2 linked regions of the Diceros bicornis minor genome follow. The protein of the gene in region 1 purifies or fractionates together with the protein of each later gene. This does not show direct contact. Links are inferred from orthologs where the notes say so. Each region holds a gene or a part of one and is shown in the gene's direction. Other genes may lie near its edges. The genes, in order: SUPT7L and TADA2B.

Evidence for each region.
Region 2: the proteins of SUPT7L (region 1) and TADA2B purify together in Homo sapiens (affinity purification with mass spectrometry; 3 studies listed by BioGRID and IntAct, counting the BioPlex papers as one, with this or other methods). This does not show direct contact. The link is inferred for Diceros bicornis minor from reciprocal best matches to the Homo sapiens genes SUPT7L and TADA2B.

What each region holds. Positions count from the first base shown.
Region 1 is NC_080751.1:55,261,292-55,271,965, forward strand, and holds the start of SUPT7L (STAGA complex 65 subunit gamma), read left to right. Parts: upstream 1-6,215; 5' UTR 6,216-6,274; intron 6,275-6,423; exon of another isoform or gene 6,424-6,706; intron 6,707-6,716; exon of another isoform or gene 6,717-7,473; 5' UTR 7,474-7,575; intron 7,576-8,209; 5' UTR 8,210-8,414; coding exon 8,415-8,827; intron 8,828-10,674. Other genes in the region: SLC4A1AP (kanadaptin), read right to left, coding at 2,185-2,324, 2,647-2,707, 3,483-3,605, 5,055-5,250, 5,467-6,120.
Region 2 is NC_080747.1:4,831,694-4,842,247, reverse strand, and holds the start of TADA2B (transcriptional adapter 2-beta), read left to right. Parts: upstream 1-5,822; 5' UTR 5,823-5,837; coding exon 5,838-6,107; intron 6,108-10,554. Other genes in the region: CCDC96 (coiled-coil domain-containing protein 96), read right to left, coding at 3,576-5,198. UniProt on the Homo sapiens protein: Coactivates PAX5-dependent transcription together with either SMARCA4 or GCN5L2.

The sequences.
Region 1 (10,674 bases):
AAATATTCAAAGTACAAAAATGAGGTTTGGAAATTAAAATCTTGATAGCAAAATAGAGACAGAAAGATAAAGCTGCAGAACTCTCCCAGAAAGAACAAAAAGATATAGAGATAGAAAAATTATATCTAAATAATTATATTTTCAGAATGGAGGGTTTAATAAAGTTTACTTGCTACAGAGCCTTTCTCAGGAATCCATGAAAGCATGTTCCCCAAAACGAGACAGTAGACCAAGAAAAATGAAAGACATGAAATCCATTGAAGACTATCATCATCCATGCCCTCTATTGTTGTATCAGCTTTTTAACCTGCTAAAACTACAGAAAGATGTGCTCCACTAACACAATGGAATAAATCAAGAAATACGAGAATCTGAGAATTGAGAAACAGGAAATCCAACCCTGGAGAAACACAAAGGAAATCTCAAGAATGACAGCAAAATGAAGTCTCAGATAAAGTTCTGCAGCAGGACTAGAGAGCAGTAAGCCCTAAAAGAAGGAGAATAGTGCTCCTCAGAGAAATGTCTCCAAAAAAACCAGAACTGATAAATCAGTTAATGTGAAATGACCATATGGAAAAACACACTGAAAAGCTACTGAAAGGTGTGGGAAGAATGAGCAAGAGGTACTCCCCACCCCCCCAAAAAAAATCAAACACATGAAAAACAAACACAGGTCTTCACTTTAGGAAAAACAAGGAGATAAAACTGCTCAGTTGTGACTAATATTTTGCATAAACATAATCATGTAAATACTAGATACTAATTTAACAAAGTCAACAGATAATGTTTAAAATAAATAGCTCAAAATATAACAGCATACTCTTGGATATTTTTAAATGCCAGAAGAAATAACCGAAAGAGTTAAAAGCCTTCTAGGGATGAAGACTGGGGAGGGGCAACATGAGAAACAAGTATAGTTTGTTTTAAGCCTTTGGTAGTTTTAACTATATATAAATTACTTTGCAATAATAAAAATTAATTTTAGAGTAAATAAAAATATAATATAAGCCTTACTAATAAATGATGGTATAAACAGAGGTTTTTTGTTTTTTTTTTTTTTGTGAAGAAGATCAGCCCTGTGCTAACATCTGCCAATCCTCCTCTTTTTGCTGAGGAAGACTGGCCCTGGGCTAACATCCGTGCCCATCTTCCTCCACTTTATATGGGACGCCACCACAGCATGGCCTGACAAGTGCTGCCTTGGTGCACGCCTGGGATCCAAACCCGGGCCGCCAGCAGTGGAATGCATGCACTTAACCACTATGGCACGGGGCCGACTCCGAGAGCTTGTTTTTTTTTTTTAAATAATTTTTATTTATTTATTTTTTCCCCCAAAGCCCCAGTAGATAGTTGTATGTCATAGTTGCACATCCTTCTAGTTGCTGTATGTGGGACGCAGCCTCAGCATGGCCGGAGAAGCGGTGCGTCGGTGCGGGCCCGGGATCCGAACCCGGGCCGCCAGCAGCGGAGCTCGCACACTTAACCGCTAAGCCACGGGGCCGGCCCCCGAGAGTTTTTTTTTGGTTTTTTTTTTTTTTGTGAGGGAGATCAGCCCTGAGCTAACATCCGTGCTAATCTTCCTCTTTTTGCTGAGGAAGACCGGCTCTGAGCTAACATCCATTGCCAATCCTCCTCCTTTCTTTTTCTGCCCCAAAGCCCCAGTAGATAGTTGTTATGTCATAGTTGCACATCCTTCTAGTTGCTGTATGTGGGACGCGGCCTCAGCATGGCTGGAGAAGCAGTGCGTCGGTGCGCACCTGGGATCCGAACCAGGGCCGCCAGTAGCGGAGCGCACACACTTAACCACCAAGCCACCGGGCCGGCCCGAGAGTTTTTTTTTAAATGAGGTAAATTTAATGCAATGATATGGATAATATCCATGATACATTCTTATGCTAAATAAGTCACAAAAGACTATAAGCAATATAATTGCATTTGTGTATGAGTATTTGTTTTTTGTTAAAGGATCTCGTTCTGAACACACATCTATATGCACAGAAACTGTCTGGGAGAATATAAATAAACAATGGCTACCTTCAGAGAGTGAGATAGGGAATTTTTTCTTGTCACTTCATAGAATTTTATACAATTTACATTTCCCTCTAAAAAAAGGTTTTGTTACCTTTTGTATTAAATTTTCCTTTTTTTTTTTTTTAAAGAAAAAACATGTTCCCACATGCTCACCTGCCTCCTGCCTCAGCAATCCCAAAGTATCGAGGATTCGACAAGCTTCCAGTGAGCATTGGATCATAGCTTCTTTTTTCTTTCCTGAGTGAATGGCCTCAGCCACCAGTTGTTTTCCAGTTGAATCATCCACAGGTAATCTGCATCAGTTTGAAGGGAATTATAGCACAGCACTAAGCTCCAATTTTCATGAAAAAAACTAATACGCTGTGATAATAGTCATGTTTTTTGAGATGGCTTTTTAATCTCTCAGTTCATTTTGTTTTATCTTGCCAAGGTTGGATGTCAAATCTTTTCCTTCTCTCTTACTCATCCCACCCCACCCCCCATTAATATGTGTTACTAAACTATCAAGGCCCAAATTCAGGAATAGCCTAAAATTAAGACTAAAGTTACTCTCTGGGTTATTGTCTATAATCGTAAATTACAGCTGTAATGGACATTTATGAGAAAAGAACATACCTTACTCTACAGAGCCAAGTGCTATGTCCCTGTTCATCAAATTCATATTCTAATTCTTCTCCTGTGGGAGGAAGAAAGACAAAACAATTTTAACAGCATGTGACAATTACTAGTTGATACAAGGAGAAAACAGAGCAAAGGTTAAATAAGAATATCAAGTTCCCATATCACATTGACTACTTCTCATTCCTAGGGATTATCATCCAATAATAAAATTAGGATGAGCTTGAGGCAAAGAAGAGCAAACTCAGATCAAAACAATCAACTCTTCATTCATAGCTTTGACCACTGTACAGTAGCTTTCACACTTTTTATAAGTTGTAGACTTAAGCTGTTAATTCATCACAGTTGCCTGGTTTTTAGAAGTACATGTGTTAAGTGCAGAACACAACCAGTTCATATATATATTCATACACACACACACACACACACACACACACATATTCTCTCAAAGCATCTCTACTGAAACAATTGTCTGTGGAAACAATCTTTAATCATATAAAATGAAAATTCAAGGTAAGAATTACAAAAGATCAGGTGAATTAGAAACAAAAAATTACAAGAAGTTGGGCCAATCTCCCCACCACCCAAGTCTAGGATTTTTCGAGAAGAATGAGACAAGCCAGGAAAAAGTACTTCCTTTTTTCCAAAATGAGAAGAAAGACTAACAAGATTTTTACTATTTTCAAAATAAACCTGATGCAACTGACCACAAGGATAAGAACTAAACAAGGAGGAGAGCAGATAAAATATAGCATTTCTAAGTACCTGAAGATCTAGAAAACAACACTGCTGTGGATACATTTTGCTGGCAGCGTCAGAATCTATTTACATACCTTCTCGGTCAAAAAACCCTTGGAGAGCCTTTTTTGGATCCTTTATATAAAAGGCCTCCCTTTCCTGCTGAAACTCTAAGACAATGGGGTTCTCTTCAGCCTCATCCTCTACAGCATCCTCTCCTACAGGAGATGGGAAAGAAAGAAAAGACAATCAGACATAAGAGACTATTTCAATGACATCCATTATTCTTTCAGACTGCATAAAGATACAGTTATCAGTCATGAAAAGAAAGGGATGGACCTGCAAAGGATAACCACAAAACCACCAGTAAGAGTATCTTCAGGTTTTCTAAATTGTATGACAATTAAAACTTGTTTTCATGGCACCTTATTTTTTTTTTTTCCATCACTACATTTTAAAAGCAAAATTACCTACCACATTGTGTACAGAAAAAATCTAAGCTCCTCAGCCTGGCATCCTTGTTCTCTTACACCCGGGTCTAATACTTGGTCTCCAATAGAATTTCCTAATGCATATCGTAACTACCAAATAGACTGGTATACTCATTATTCCCTTAAAATCATCAATCCCTGCCCTGAATACCACTCCCAATGCTCAACTTCCCAAGGGATACTCTTCTTATCCTTCAAGTCCCAGCACAAAACCCTTCTGTTTATAAACTTATAAACTTTCCTAAAGATCTAAGTCAGTGCTGCCCAACAAAAATATAATGAAAGCCATATGTGTAATCTTATATTTTGTAGTAGCCACATTAAAAAAGTAAGAGAAACAGGTGAAATTACCAAGTAATCAATATAAAAATATTATGAACATTTCACATTCTTTTTTCACACTAAGTCTTTGAAATCCAGTGTGTATTTTACATTTACAGCACATGTCAGTTTGGACTAGCCATACTGTAAGTGCCCAATAAGCACATGTGGCTAGTGACTACCATATTGGACAGCGAGGTCTAAGTCCTCAGTGATGGCTCCCTTCTCTGAACTTTTACTCCAGCATATTTATGGTTTCTAGCTTTTGTCTGGCACTTACCACAAGTAATTTCATTTATCCTGTCTTCCCAACAACATATTAAGGCTATCTTCTATCTTTTTATATTCCTACCTCCTAAACACCCATCTTCCAAAATGTCTGGTGTTGTGGAAAATTCAATTTATTCGTTTGGCTAAGGGACCAGCTTTCCCTGATTAGATATTTCACATTTCAGGGTATTTACACAAAGTACAAAAGATTCGAGGTAATATCCTATATTGAAAACATTCCATTTTATTTGATTGAATGTAGTTCCATCCCCTCCAGTGATAATCAAGGTCAGTACTTATATATTTTTTTAAATGGTAAAAAAAATAAATTGTATGCTGAAGAACAGTTTTGAACAAGACTGTACTGTAAAACACATTAGAAGAAATCCATAGTGCTCATAGTTCAATTTCTTGACATCAGAAAAGTAAGGAATCTCTCTGAGTTTTGATAACTTCATGTGCAAACAGTATTTGTCCTACCTATCTCATAGAGTCATGAACAGCCGTATGATTAAAAAAAAAAAAAAGATACTGCTAGCAATGAATTTAAAATATTAACCTCTGGCAGCAATTGTAATTTCTTACCCATTCCCCAGGTGCAGCCCACTTCATCATCTTGACCACTAGTATTTTTCTTCCTTTCAGTGGTATCCATTTCCTCCTCTTCATCTGAGTCTTCTCCTAGCATCTTCTTCTCCAACATCATTTGCTGCTGCTTGCGCAGTTCCTTCAATTGGGTGACTGTCAACTCGGATTCTGCCTCTCGGTCTTCCTCTGGTCCCTGATGAAACAAGCGAAAGAATTCTTTTAGAGTTCAGGATTGTTGAAGTCACTTTCAGAAATATGGCAATGTATACAGAGATCTGGACATGAAAGGCCAGATTCCACTTTTGTAATCACTAACTGGGAGAATCTTCTTCCTCATTGAAAGCTTAAAGAGCTCAGGAACCCAGCCCGGTGGGCTCCAGAAATTTCAATTCTAGGTTTTTCTACTTACCTGAAGAAGAAAGAGCCGGGTGCTGCCTCCAAAGCGAAGAACATGCCCGACGTGGATCCGACAATAGGTGCGGGGTGGGACGCGGGTTTTGTTAAGAAAAGTGCCGTGGGTGCTTCCCAGATCGTAGAGGTAGAAGCCGGGCCCGTGGCCGTCGCATTCTCCCTCCGGGCCGGGCGCCCGGTGCTGCAGCACGGCGTGATAGCGAGACACCGAGGGGTGCTCCAGGCATACGTCGCAGCTAGGCAGCCTCCCGAAAAGGCAGCAGCTCGTCCCTTTCAAGCTCCGGGTGCCAAGGATGGTGCCGCCCTTCAGGGTCTCTAGGCTGTAGGGGGCTGTGGCAGGGCCGCCCCACGGCGGCTCTCGGTAAGGCGGGGCCCGGCCCGGGCCACCAGGGGAAGGAGCCGCTGCGAGGGGCCGCGGCTGCTCCTCTGGGGGACTCCGAGCCTCCCCGCTGTCCGGCGGGACATCAGGCTTCTCGGAATCGGGGTCCAGCAGCGCCGTGGGCCTTTCCTTCTTCACCTCGTCAGGGTTTGAAGGATTGCGGTCCGCGGCCTTGTCCCGCACCGCCGGGGGCACCGGCAGAGCTGGCTTCTTGAAGTCTCTACTGAGTTCTTGCGAGGCCAGCGGCTCGCACTGAGTGGGACTATCAGCCATCCTCAATCGGGTGCAGTCTCGAAATCTGTTCCTAGGAAACGTCACCCTTCGGTCTCTACGTTCCTCTCCGCGCCTCCCTCTCCCCAGCTCCCAGAGGCTTCTCTGGCCAGCGATGGTGGAGTTGCTCCTTCACGACCCAGAACGCTGTGAAGAGGTGAGTATCACGGGAAGATCATAACAAGAGAAAAACAGAAAAAGGCGGTCGGGGTGCTGTCAGAATGGGGACATCTTTAGAGGTTGCAACCGGATTGTAATAACTTCCTGTGGCTTAGCTTGATTGAGAAGAAACGCTTCCGGCAGGCTTGGACCGCTAATCAACAAACCAGCCTTCCGGGCCTTTCGCGACCCTCGCCTCAGGCCTCTGGGGCCGTACGGCCGCCCAGCCCGGCTCCTGCGCCGCGGCAGTGAATAGTGGCGCCTCCGTGCCTCGGTCCAGGGTCAGACCTGCCGTCTGCCGGCCGCTCCGAGCATCAGGCGACCCCAGGATCCTGTGATTGGCGCCTGCGCCCGCTGACCGTGACCGAGGAGCCCCCCGAGGGACTTGGGCATTGCTTGGGCTTGGTGCCTCCCCTTCGTGCTCCTTTGGGTGAAGTTAGGGAAGAGGGCGGTTTTTTTTTTCTTTCTGTCATTTTGTTCATTCATTTATTCGTTCATTTTTATATGCTTTCCGAAACCAGTTAATGAGGCAACGTAGTGTAGTTGTTAAGACTGCAGACTCTGGAGACTGACTGTCTTGATTTTCCCTCTCAGCTGTTTCTGACATTAGGCAAGACAGTGGGCCTCACCTTCCACATCTGAAAAATGGGATAATAATTTTGTCTACTTATAGGGTAGTTGGGAGAATTGAATTAAACAGTAAAGGCAAAGGCTGGCACATAGTGGGCACTAATTAAATGCCAGATAATTACTGTGTTGCAGACACTGTACTAAGATTGTGGTCGTGAGGGATAGATGAGAGAATAAAATTGATTGCGATGAATACTAGTTAAGTCTAGGGATAAATGCTGTGACAGAGATATGCAAAGTGCTGTGAGAATATAATGAAGGAGGATGTACTGGGTAGGTGATGGAAGGTGGTGACTTAAGCTATACTTAAGAATGAAGACAAGTCTGCCAGGGATGTGGTGGGTGGCAGGGCATTGCTGACAGAGATCACAGCTTAAAGAGTCAACTGTGGAAATGCATGGCATTCTTAAAATGAGTAGTATGATACCGTTAGAACTAGGGTGGTCATTGTCTCCAGGAATCTCTTCCTTTGTGCTTCCACTGCACCAGGTCTGCACCTCTAGAACAGCACTAAGCCCACACTTTCATATTGAAGCGTTCTGTTTATGTTTTTCTCCCTCACCCCAGGTCGGAGATCTTGGCCTTAGTCTTTGTCTCCTCACATAATACCTGGCATTTGATAAATGTTTGTTGAATTTGAAGAGACATATGGGCAATGAATCTGGAAAGGTGAGTTGAAGCCAGTTTGTAAATTTTGTTGAATGGAGAGCCAAAGAATTTTGACTGACTTTTTCCTGTAGACAATGGGAAGCCATTAGATCTGAGTTAAAAATATTAAGTCTAGCAGCACTATGGAGGATAGATTAGATATAAGGCGAGACTAAAATAAGGAATACCAGTTAAGAGGCAGCAGAAATCTCCCAGATTCTTCCCTATATATGTCAGAAGTTGCACGCATAGGACCATTTAGACTGGTGGTTAATAGCTTTTTTCACCAGATCAGTTAAAAGGTTCCCATGCCTGATACACATAGTATAAGAACCACCTCTGTCTATCTTTAACTCTACTCCCCTTTCTCCCACTGATCTGGGACAGATATGTCAAAATACTCTTGAGAAATATTCCAGGTCTCATTTAAGTATCTTGTCTTGAAAATTGTTCAGGATTGGGCATGATGGTAGTTCTAGTAATGAGTTAGGGGGGTGAGATGGAAAACATGGACACTACAGCCCCAGATACTATTGCAGCTGTTAGTCTACTAGTGACCCAAATTCCACCTTGTGGTTCAGTCTAATATGAATTGTCATTGTGTGTGATTGTGATGACTAGCTTCTAGCAGTTATATTTCTCTTAATTTCTTCAGGGAGAACATCTTCGGTCCTACAGTGTTGGTGACACTGACATTTTTCTGAGTGGTCCTGAACAACCTACTTTTTATGTAAATAACGGGCTAGACTTCATATTTTTCACTACAGAAGTTTATAACCTACAGTTGCCAGAGATTTAAAGACACTAGTTTAGGATATCATCTACATTTAACTTGGAAGCTCTTCCTTTCTTATTCCAAAATGTTGAGATACTGGGGAGAGATACCAATCTCATCAAGCCAGGCCAACAGAAGTTCCTTTGATTTGCTCCCACGGGAGTTCCGTCTGGTGGAAGTCCATGACCCTCCTCTGCACCAACCCTCAGCCAACAAGCCCAAGCCCCCCACTATGTTGGACATCCCCTCAGAGCCATGCAGCCTCACCATCCATACCATTCAGCTTATCCAGCACAACCGACGTCTGCGCAACCTCATTGCCACAGCTCAGGCCCAGAATCAGCAACAGACAGAAGGTGTAAAGACTGAAGAGAGTGAACCTCTTCCCTCCTGCCCTGGGTCACCTCCTCTTCCTGATGACCTCCTTCCTTTAGACTGTAAGAATCCCAATGCACCATTCCAGATCCGGCACAGTGACCCAGAGAGTGACTTTTATCGGTAAGGCAAGGCTTTGCTGTGTCTTACTTTTTTCAAATAATCTTCCCAGCAACCCTGTTAAGCATGTAATAACATTTCCATGAAGAAACTGAGGATAAGGGTAATTGACTTGGCCACAGTTGCTCAGGTAATTAGTGGGAAGTCTAAGACTTGAACCCTGATCTTCCAAATCCAAAGTCTATATTTTTTTATTTTCTGATGCAACAGATATTTATTGAGTGCCTGCTATGTGCCAAGCACTTTGCTAGGAGCAAGGTACTACACTGGTATGTAAAATAGGCCATGGCCTCATAGTCCTCAGGGTCTAGTCTTTCTGTTTAATTTAAAATGTATATTATGGGTTTGGCTCAGAGTCCTCAAACTGAGATTCATGGACTCATTCTCGTACTATTAGGAATCCACAAGTTCTATATAAGAATTTTTTAATTGTATGTTTGCATTTTGATAACATAGTTTAAGAAATAATAATATAAAAATGTTCTTGATCCATGCTACTCAAAATCAACATCACCTAGGAGCTTGTTAGAAATTCAGAGTCTCAGGCCCCACCCACACCTGCTAAATCAGAATCTTCATTTTAACAAGATCTCCAGGAGATTCATATGGGTATTTGAGTTTGAGAAGCCCTGCTCCAGATCCTCTGAATGACTACCTTATAACCTAGTGCTACTACTAGATTTCAATGTGTAAGTTTGCATTTGGTGCCAAATTACTTTTTTTCTTTTCGTTTTGAAATTTGTCAGACCTATAGAAAAGTTAAAATAATAGTACAATGAACACCCAAATACCCTTCACCTGGATTCACCAATTGTTAACATTTTGCCACATTTACTTTCTCTCACATATGTGTGTGTATACACACATATACACACAAATATAGAAACATATATATACATACACGTATACCAAATATTTTAAAGTGGCAGACATTACAATATTTTACGCCTAAATTCTTTCCCTTGTACTAAGAATAATTTTATTATTTTCCTACAGAATCCCAATACCATTGTCACACCAAAATAAGTGAACACTAATTAAATAATATCATTTAGTAAGTCTATATTCAGATTTCTCCACTTGTCCCCAAAATATCTTTTTAGATATATTTTTCCCCAATCCAGGACCTAACAAAGATTCATGCATTGCACTTGGTTGTTAGGCCTCTTTAGTGTCTTTTAAGCCAGAATAGCTTCCTCTTTTTTAAAAAACATGATAGTAATCTTTTTTAAGAGTTTGGGGGGCTGGCCCAGTGGCACAAGTGGTTACGTGCACACGCTCCGCTGCTGCGGCCCGGGGTTCACTGGTTCGGATCCTGGGCGCGTACCGACGCACCGCTTGGCAAGCCATGCTGTGGCGGCATCCCATATAAAGTGGAGGAAGATGGGCACGAATGTTAGCCCAGGGCCAGTCTTCCTCAGCAAAAAAAGAGGAAGATTGGCAGATGTTAGCACAGGGCTGATCTTCCTCACAAAAAAAAAAAAAAAACAGTTCGGGTCATTTGTCTTGTAGTAGAATGTCCCACTTACTGAATTTGCTGATTATTTCCTCAAGATTAGATTCAGGTTAAATATGTTTGGCAAAAATACCACATAAGTAGTATTATAGATCACTTATTGCATCTGCCTATTGATGATAATAATTACTACTGTTTTACTTGTCCCAAACTAATGAGAAAAGAACAGAAATAGACTTACATGTAAAGGTTCCAGTTGGCCTAGATGAAGGCCAGATGGTGTCCTGGTGCGTTGCATAATCAAAGATTCTGAAGTTGTTGGAGTAGTGAAAAGGGGAGGGATAACTATCTTATTACATGCCTGGCACATGTTAGTACAGATAGGCCCAATTTG
Region 2 (10,554 bases), on another chromosome or scaffold:
TGCACGCGCTTCGCTGCTGGCAGCCCAGGTTCGGATCCCGGGCGCGCACCGATGCACCACTTCTCCAGCCATGCTGAGGCCGAGTCCCACGTGCAGTGGCTGGAAGGATGTGCAACTACAACATGCAGCTATCTACTGGGGCTTTGAGGGGGAAAAAAAAAAACTTGAGGAAGGTGTTAACTTATTCACTAAAATATGCACATATTTAATCATTGGTTATTTTTTTGTGTGTGTGAGGAGATCAGCCCTGAGCTAACATCTGCCAATCCTCCTCTTTTTTTTGCTGAGGAAGACGGCCCTGGGCTAACATCGGTGCCCATCTTCCTCCACTTTATATGGGACGCCGCCACAGCATGGCTTACCAAGCAGCGCGTCGGTGCGCGCCCGGGATCCGAACCAGCGAACCCCGGGCCGCCGCAGCGGAGCGCGCGCACTTAACCGCTTGCGCCACCGGGCCGGCCCCTAATCATTGGTTATTTAAATAAAAACTAGACCCTTTGAAAGGAATATTACATGCGAAGTAGGAGACGGGAACTTGAGCAGTGTTGTTCCTGCCAGTCCTGGCTCCTGCTAGCTTCTGTGACGCTTCACCCCTACATGACGGAAGAAGTCTCCTGTAGTCCTGTCCATTCATAGCATTTGCATGATTTATCACTCTGACATTAAGACTATTGGAAAGTTGAAAACGTAAAAAGCACCAAATTGGGGTGCATTAATTCTGATGTTATTTTATGGACAGGCACCCCCCACCAGTGGCAAAAATCTAAATTATGGATGCAGGTGAAATTATAAAAAAAGAAAGCATATATATATTTCCACTTATATAATTTAAAAATCTCAAAAGTGGTAAGTCACCAAGTGATTTTCGTTTACCAATGAGAAAGTGTTTCTTTTTCAGATGCCTCGGGCTCTATCCAGGTAGTGCCCAATTCACTTCTGCCAATGGTCCCAAAAACAAACAGAAAACCTGCAACCTCCAAGGGGACACCAACTCAGACTAATTTTTAAAAAGTCTAGTTTCATATAATATCTCACTCAGATTTTATTGTGCCTGCATTTTCAGGCCCTGTACTCTTTGACAAGGAGATGAAAAAATGTTTAAGCTTTGATTTTAGCATTCATAAAATAATCTGTTTTAGAGGTTTCTAGTCCAGCCTCCAGCATCACTGGAGAAATCCCCCTCAAGGGAGTCCACGCTGGGATGGAGAGCTCTGATCTGTAGTACTGTCCTTCCATGACTACAAGCCTGCCTCCCCGTCATTTCCCTCAGTGGTCCTACTTGAGAGAGCTTCTTTCTACCTGAAATTATTTTTTAATCTGACATAGGACTTATCAATGCCTGATATATAATAGGCATTCAAGTAATACTTAATGTTCAGAAAATGAGACTGGGATTATGTTAATTCAACAAATTGAGCACTGATTATGTGCTAGGTAGGCACTGTGCTGGCTGAGAGGGAGGATGATAAGCCAACAGTCCTTGCCTTCCAGGGCCTCTGTCTCACTGGGGCACAGAGAGCTAGACAGACAATCACAAAGCAGTGGGTCAGAGGCGGGCATGGGGTGAAATGCAGGCTGCTGTGGGGCACAAAGGGCACATCAGCAAGACTATGGGTGAGGGTGCTTTCGGGTTTGTGGTGTTCTTCCTCAGAAGCAATCTATCTTAGAAACAATTTGTCAATGTGTTGCTATTTCATGATTAAGAGCTCTCCTGTAATCTAATTAGAAGAACCCTGTTATGAAGTAATCAACAGAAGATTATCTTCTAATTAATTGTAACATCTGCAGCACAAGGTAATATAATTTGAGAGAACATCGGTGACTTTGCAGCTTAAAGCAATGCCAACCTCATCAGTCTCTGTGTCTTTGTGCTTTCAGAGATCTGCTTGTCAGCCAGTTCAAGGCCGACGAGGGATGTTTGGTTCTATGTGGGTAACTGCCTGCCAATGGGTCAAAATCAGCTGAAAATACCTATTCTCCCTCTAGTGAATCAAAGGGATGGACACTCTTAGAATGAAGGCTGCTTGCTTGGTGAGGGCACCGAGCATATTGCCAGTTTCACTTTGAAGCCTTGCCACCACAGAAGAACCCAGGGGGCCTGTGCTGCTTTTAATTTGAAGCACAAAGAAAACAAAGTTGTATTTGCCAGTGATTTACTACTTCACTTTGGTCTGATAAACGGGGTAGAGGGAAGGAGAGTTATAGAGGATAAGGAGAATAGAAGCAGGAAGTCAATTTTTCACTCCCCTCGTTGTGTTTGTGTGGTTTGATAAGTACAATATAAGTGTATTCAAGCTGTGGAACTTAGAAAAGGAATTTTAATCAACCTTTATTGGCTTCAAAGGGAACACACTTTAGAAAAGAAAATCATGTCATCAAAAGATAGTTGTTTTGACATTCTTATGACCGAGTTATCTGCCTAGATGGGGTTTCCACCATTCTTTAAATGTACTTAGCACCCAAAAATAGATCACTCTTCTTATGATCCACTTAAGTTTAGAGATGGGAGAATACTTTTAATCCTAAATCTGCACTTCTCAAAATTCAACCTAAGATTAATAAATCCAAGCTCCTAGCTCCAAAAGCATCAAAGAAAACTGAAAAAGTTAATCACTGGTTAAGGGGATAGACCTATCAGGTATGTCTTACATTAACACAAGGAATAACAGACATTTTGATAGAGTAAAATGATGTGCATAGCCAGGGTCCTGTTGCCAAGATCCAAAAATATCTTCCTAAAAACAAAAGGCTTATGGACAGTCAGCAGTCACCACTCCATATATTTTGCACCTGGCAAAACACACAATACAATCATCATTTTGTCTTCACTGGAAAACAAAATTTCATTTTTTGTACCAATGAATGCATTTCTTTAGCAGATCCAGGAAAACGTCTCATTAGAATTGAAGACTGTCATTGAGCCAGAAACAAACATGTAATGGTTACACAGACCAAGCCTCCTTTCACTGAAAAAGGAAAGATGAAGGAACATCAGCTCCTTTTCCTACTTATCATTTCTCCTGTTTCCTGGATATTTTTTATTATCCCAGAAGCTAGTGCTACTTCCATACAAAACAATTTCAGATTAATCTAAAAGGGAATTAGTGAGCTTTGAATTGAGATAGTGACTCAGGACTACACAGTTTAATACATTCAAAGGGGATTTAATAATTAGCTTAATGCACAGGAATTTTTTTGGTACCCCGCCCATTTGTTGAACCCTCCTCCATATGGAAAAGGAACAGTTCTCAGTGTCAGGTCACTGACATTATGGAACTGCTCAGATATAAAAAGGCTTTTGACAGCTTTTTATGAGAAGTCAGGTACATTAAATCATCTCTGTTGTTTGCTTCTCTAGACCTATTTTACTTCAACGTACGTAAAACTGACTGCTAACCCAATTTTGTGCTTAGCACTAATTTGGAAACTGAAAAATTATGAGAAATACAAAATATAGTTCCATCCCAAATATCATAGGCCTTTTGAAGAATGGCAACAAATGGAGAATGAGAGTTAATGAAGCATGAAGTTTGCTGAGATGGAAGATGTTCTGCCAACTCTTCTCCTGAATCGTGTCAGGAGGGGAGAAAGGCTCTGGCTTCCCTGATCTTCTGCTTCACGCCTCTGCAGGACAGAGTAAGCCCGGCGTGATGGTGCTTCAGGGATTCTAAGCGCTGCTGGAGCAGTGCAGTCCTGTCCACCTTCTCTTCCAGGTCCCGGAGGAGTGATTCCTTGCCTAGAAGCCCACACTTCTGATTCAGCTTGATGTTGTCAAGCTGCAGGCTGTCTCGGGCTTGCTTAGTCTTAGTCAGGATGTCCCTCCTTAGGGCCACCTGAGCTTCAATTTCCAACAGTTGTGACTTTTTGCATGCATTTTCTATCTCCACAAAGTGTAACTTTTCCTTCACATGCGTTATTATTTGCACATTGTTGGTCACCTTGTTGCGCAGTTTCAGAAGCTCCTCATTTCGCTCCTCAACTTTCTCATTGAAAGTCTGGTTCTCAATCTTAAGCTGTTCAAAATCGATGAGGAGAAGGCCCTCAGTCAAGTCCTCCTGGGCCCTCATCCTGGTTTCAAAATGCACCAAGCTCTGCTTCAGCTGCACGTTTTCCAGCCTCACAGCGCTCATCTCCTTCTCCTTCCTGTCCTCCAATGCCTGGATCTGCTCCACTTCTCGCAGAGCGGCCTGGCGACCGCCCCTCATGCGACAGCTGCCCATGGCCTGCATCACCACCTGCTTCTTGAGTGCCTGGAAGCCTCGCCACTCCTTCTCCACCCTGGAGAGCTTCTCCTCGCACTGCTGCTTCAGCCGGTCCAGCTCCTGGTGATACCAGTCCAGGTCGTCGGCCTGCTGCTTCCTCAGCTCCTCCAGCACGGCCAGATGGCGTAGGTATGCCTGCTCCTTCTCGGGGGCCTCAGGCTCCATGCCCTTGTCCGGCACGTCGGCCGCATCCAGGCCCTTCTTCTTGCGCAGCGCCTCGGAGATCTTGTGCTGCAGGTAGATGTTGTAGCGCTGGCAGCGGCTCCGCTCCACCATCAGGGAGCGGTACTGTTCCAGGAGCTCAGAGCGCAGCTGCTGCTCCTGCAGCTTCTTGACCTCCTCGCTCCACTCGTAATCCTCATCCTCGAGGGCGTCGTCCAGACCTCTCGGCTCTTCCTCGGTTTTCGCCCGGCTTCCTTCCACACCCTTCTCGCTCTCCTCGCTCTCGTCCTCCTCCGGTTCCTCCCGCTCAGCCTCCCGGGCTGGCGCAGCCTCCTCCTGGCCGGCGGTGGACAGCGGCAGAGAGACCTGCGACGGGGCTTCCTTCCTCTTCCCACCCTCCGCCGCCCTCTCTTCTTCCTCCTCCTCCTCCCCCTCCTCCTCCTGGGGTTCCTCGGGCCCGCCTTTGGACGTCGGCTTGCCTGGCCTGTCAGGCCCGGCCTCGGCCGGCCACTCCGGCTCTCCGGGCCCCTCCTCGCCCGCAGCCTCGGCGGCCGCCAGCCCCTCCCGAAGCTCGGCCGGGTCGGCGGGCTCGGCCGTGGCGGCTCCTCCCTCCGAAGCCCCTACAGTCTCTGGCTCCGGCTCCACAGCGTCCGCGGGTTCGGCCGGCGACTGCGGGCCAGAGCTGGCCTTGATCCCGGACAGCCGCGAAGCCAGGCTCTCCACATCTCCGTCGTCGCCCTCGGAGTCCCCAGCGTGCTCGGAGTGGCCGTCCATCTCCCTCCGGCTGGGCCAGCGCCGCGGACCCGAGCGGCCGGCTGTTAGGTTTCCCGGGGCAACCAGGGGCGCGCGCGGTGGGCCCGGCGATTGGCCAGGCGTCAGCCCGATGCCCTGCCCCTTCTCCCCGCCTCCCGGCAGGAGCAGGCCAATGGGGTGGCGCGAGTGGACGACGGGCGGCGTTGACTGGAAGAGGGCGAAGGCTCGCGCCGCGAGGGGCGTGGCGCGCCCGCCTCGCTCGCGCCTCGCCCGTTTCCCAGCGCCGAGTCCGGGGCGGGGCCTCCAGGCGGCGCTGGCCGCGCGGGCGGCAGGCGCGAAAGGCGCGCAGGCGCAGAGCGGCGGGCCGGGTCCCCGCGCGGTGGCGCGCGCGGGGCGCCTGCGCGATGCGGCGGGGCGACGGCGGCGGCGGCGGCGGCCGGGCCGGGCCCGAGGGCGCCTGCGTGCTGAGGCGGGACGCGGCCGGGCTGGCCGGCTCCGGCGGCGCCTGGGCGGGGCGGCGCGGTGGCGGCGGCCGCGGCGGCGGCGGGCGGCGGTCGCTCGAGCGCGGCGGCGGGCCCGGGCGGCGGCGCGCTGACGGCGGCGGGCGCAGCGGCGGCGGCGGCGGCGGCGGCGGCGGGCCCGGGCGGCGGGCGGGGGAAGATGGCGGAGCTCGGTAAGAAGTACTGCGTGTACTGCCTGGCCGAGGTGAGCCCGCTGCGCTTCCGCTGCACCGAGTGCCAGGACATCGAGCTGTGCCCCGAGTGCTTCTCGGCCGGCGCCGAGATCGGCCACCACCGCCGCTACCACGGCTACCAGCTGGTGGACGGCGGGCGCTTCACGCTGTGGGGGCCCGAGGCCGAGGGCGGCTGGACCAGCCGCGAGGAGCAGCTGCTGCTGGACGCCATCGAGCAGTTCGGCTTCGGAAACTGGGTGAGCGGCCGCGGCGGACCGGGCGGCGCTCTGCGCGGGACGCGCGGGGGCTTCGTCCCCCCCGGGTTAATGCAGACGCGACCTGCACCTGCGCGCTCGGGCACAGCGCGGAGGGCAGGTGGCGCAGGGACGGGTAGCACGCCCGGTGTGTGCACGGGAAACCCCAGCGCAGAGAGGGTGAGCAGCATGCCCAAGGTCACACAGCCAGGAAGTGGCAAAGCGGGGCTTTGGACTGTGGCCTTCTGACAGCAGAGCTATTTTCCTAACCCTAAGGAGTATCTTAAATTGGTGGTTGCTGAGCGAGGGCTTCGGGCAAGACCCACGGCCTTACCTGAGTAGGAGTTGGTGGACATAGGCAAGTCAGCAAGCTTGACCCAGAGCGCTGAGCGAGGAGTTGGTTTTGCCTGGACAACAGCGGTGGTGAAGGCCAGACCAGCCTCACACACGCCCTGCGGCTTCTCCCACCGTCTCTGATGCGCTTACTTTGTACTCGGGCCCGCTAGCTCTGTGGGGTTGTCTGTGCATGTGCCCTGTGTCCCCTCGTTTATCCCTGGGTCCCCACAACACTCAGGACATTGACTGTATGAGGCCTGCTCAGTCAGTACCCAGCAGAGGAGCGTGGAGGAGGAGCCATCTGTCCTGGGTTTCCTCTGTCCATCTGTCAGGTTTCTGTAGATGTTTATCTGAGAAGAAAGGTGAGCACTGGATGGAATTCCTTTACCAAAGCAGGTAGTGTGCTGGGCACCTGGAGAGAGAAACGGGGTGCTCTTGTCTAGGTGGTCTCTGAGAGCGCTCTCTCCACTCTGCGTTAGAAAGGGAAAATCGGGCTGTATCCTGGTCCATGACTGCCGGAGATACGTGGCACCTCCAGGCGTTACGAAAAGTGGGGAGAAGAGACAAGACCCCAGCTCCTTAATCTTTCCAGACCCTTCCACCTGATGGTCCCCTACTTCCCTGGACCAGTATGTCATCTTGCTGCCACTTCTCCAGCAGTACTCCCTCCCTGCTGGGCTTGCTGGTGGAAGACATTCCTCACTTCTCCCCTCGTTCCTGTTCCCAAACCCCTCCTGCCTTTATTTCCTTTTGCTCTCCTTTCCATAAAGTGAGCCAGTCTTCAGGGACCAGTACCCGTTCTGCAGCCCTGGAATCTTTATTCTCCCAGCTCCTTAGAGACACAGCTCTACCAGTGCTCACCTAGCACCAGCATTGTGATCACCACCCTCCAGAACCCTCCATCTCACTTTGTCCTGAAATGCCGTTTGTGGATGTGTATTGAGCGTCTGCTCTGTGCACATTATACGATGCTGAAGGACTCTGAAGGAAAGCGAGGCTTCATCCTTGTCTGTAAGGGGCTTAAAGTGTTGTGATCGCTTGGTCCTGAGCCCGCAGCTCTTCCCTAAGCTGCAGCTGTCAGTGTCAGACCGCTACCTGCCTCCTCACTGCGTGTCTCACGGATACCTCGACCCGGACCTCGCATACCCGGACCTCGCATCACCTCACTCAGCTACTCCGGCTGCACCAAGAGCCATCCTCAGGTCCTTCCAGGCCCAGGTCAGCAGCAGCCCTTTCTTCCACATATTTCCAGAATCTTACCGCTTCTCACAACCTTAGTCCAGGCTGATGTTTATCTCTTGTTTTGACCGTTTTTGGAGCCTCCCAGCTGGTCTTGCTGGCTCGTTCTTATGTCCCATTGCCCATTCCAGACACCGTAATCAGAGTGATCTTGGAAGACGCGTCCCATCAGAGCCGCCTTCAGGGGCTTCCAGGTCTCCTTAGATTAAACTCCACGGCCTGCAGGGCCTTAAGGTGTCTCCAGACCGAGGGGGTCGCAGCTGCTGCCCCCTTGAGCATCTTTCATCTCTTCTGCTCGAGTGCTCTCCCCCCAAATCATGGCTCGTGACTGGGCTCTCTACTTACATATCAGCGCCCCAGAGAGACTTCCCTCCCCCGCTCCATTCTGACAGCGCTTATGTCTACCGTAGCAGCTACAAATAGCCGACGTGGACCGAGAGCCTTGCTGTGTGCCAGGCACTGTGCTGAGCTCCTGCTGCCTTTCTCGTGAAGTCTTCCCAGCAGCCCCTGGCAGCAGGTTTTGAACTAAATAGTTTGACTTCCGAGTCTGTACTCCTAGCTGTACTGTCTACACTGCCTTCCCTGCAGTACCATGGAAAATACACGAAAAGCAAGCCTGGGGACTAAAACATTTATAGTGTGTTGGAGGAAGCATGGGGCTGGAAGGGGACGTTCTCTAAAGCAGTATTTTTCCGACTTTCCTGTGCACACAAATCACCTGGGGAGCTTGTTAAAATGCAGATTCCTACTCAAAGCAGGCAGCACGTCTCAGCTGTTGTGAGAGACAAAGCCGGAGGAGGAGGGGCTTGGGCCTGGGTGCCGTGGGGCCATCTCCTTGCTGAGCCAGTGGTGGGTTCAGGGAGAGGCCTAGATTCTGCATGCTGACCGCGCCTGGGGAGCTGCCAGGCTGCCACCCACGGGCCACACTCTGAGGAGGGGCTTCCAGTATCTCTCTAGCTGTGCTCTCTTGGGCCAGCTGCTCTACCCGCTGAGCTTCACTGTGCTTCGTCGGAGGCTCTTCTGCAGCTCTGAGATGTGTGGTTCCCTTCTGAGCAGATTTCCAGATACGTGCACATGAGCGGCATGTCCTGCGTATGCCGTATTTAGCATGCGCCTGTTTTGGACAAGACTCTTTCCGTACATGTCTCGTGCTCTTCGCAGCAGCCTGTGGGATGGGTTCTTAGTTTACAGTTGAAGAACAGCGACTCTGAGAATTTAAAATACTTGTCCAGGATGCCCCGGCTTTTCACGTCCTAAAACCAGGGTTTAGGTGCAGGCCTGTCTGATTCCGAAGTCAGTGCCTTAACTTCTCCGTGTTAAGAGCATTAACTACTATGGGTCGGAGCCTGGGAGCTTACTGGTGCATCTGAAGGTGTGGCTGGACTGGAAGGGCTTTTCAGAGGAGTGGAGTCCTGACTGGTTCAGCGGGAGGTTAGTGTGTGGGCTGGGGAAGCAGGAAGGTGAGCGGGTACACGCAGGAACCAGGTTTCACGGGCTGGATGTGGAGTTTAGAGAAGGGCAGTGTGCGCATCGGGACAGTGCTGTAGTGGAAGGTGAGACTGTTCATTCTAATTTCTCAGATGGCACGTGTGACCTGTGACTTGGGGTTGTACTGCTTTGTGTGGAGTCCATGGGGATGGGCTGATTTCAGGAGCCCTGGGGGCTGTTGCTGAAGTGTGGGGCCATTTGCTCACATTTTATCCTGGGGCTCAGGCACAGGGACCGACGGGAATGGACATGGCTGAGGGATGCTAACAGTAAGGCCTGGAGGGTTTGGGGACAAGCACTGTGGCCAGGCTCTAACACTGCATGCCCACGTGTTTGATGACGAGTGGCAGAGAGGATGGGTGGGGAGACGCCTGTGAAGACGAGGCCAGGGTAGTGTTGGCAGGCTGACAGTGACCCACAGAGTCACATCACCACGGCTATTGAGAGCCTCGAGGCAGCTGGTTTTGTGGTGGGTGCTGCACAGGTTCAGAGAGGATACAGATCCTGCTGGAGCACAGACACAGTCGTAAACACAAAGGTGAAATATTTTATGATGATTAGAGACTGTGGTAGATGGGCCTTAGGTTCGTTGATTGGTTGCCAGAGGACTTGAACAGTTTGAGGATGGCCAAAGCTCCTTTGCAGATGGTGGTCAGGACGATGCAGGGGGAAGGAAGGTTCAAGTTAGCTTTGAAGGTAGATGTCAAATTAGGAATATACGTACGTTCTCTGTGGGCTGCTCAGGGCCTTGTGCATGTGTACGTATGTTCAGGCCAATTATTGCAGGCAGGTGGATGCCATGAGTAGAGTTTTACTTTTGTAGATGATGGACATCCAAAAGGCTGGCTAGGGGCCGGCCCGGTGGTGCAAGCGGTTAAGTGTGCGTGCTCTGCTGCGGCGGCCAGGGGTTCGCCGGTTTGGATCCCAGGCACGCACCGACGCACCGCTTGTTAAGCCATGCTGTGGCGGCGTCCCATATAAAGTGGAGGAAGACGGGCACGGATGTTAGCCCAGGACCAGTCTTCCTCAGCAAAAAAGAGGAGGATTGGTATCGGATGTTAGCTCAGGGCTAGTCTTCCTCACAAAAAAAAATAATAATAATAAAAAACAAAAGGCTGGCTAATACCAGATGGGTAGATAATCATTGCATTGTGCATTCGTTCATTGATCCATCCATTCGTCCAAGCCTATTATATGTCAGCCCGTGTTAGAGGCACAGAATATCCCCCAGCATGTGGTTTGTGGTGAAGACATGGATGGAGGTGAGACAGCTGTGTGACCTTGTGCAGTGTTGTATGATTACGGGGACGCAGGATCTCCTTTGGTGGAAAGGAGAAGAGAAGGCTTTCCAGGTGGGAGGATAGTGTGGATAGGGAGGTTTTTCGCC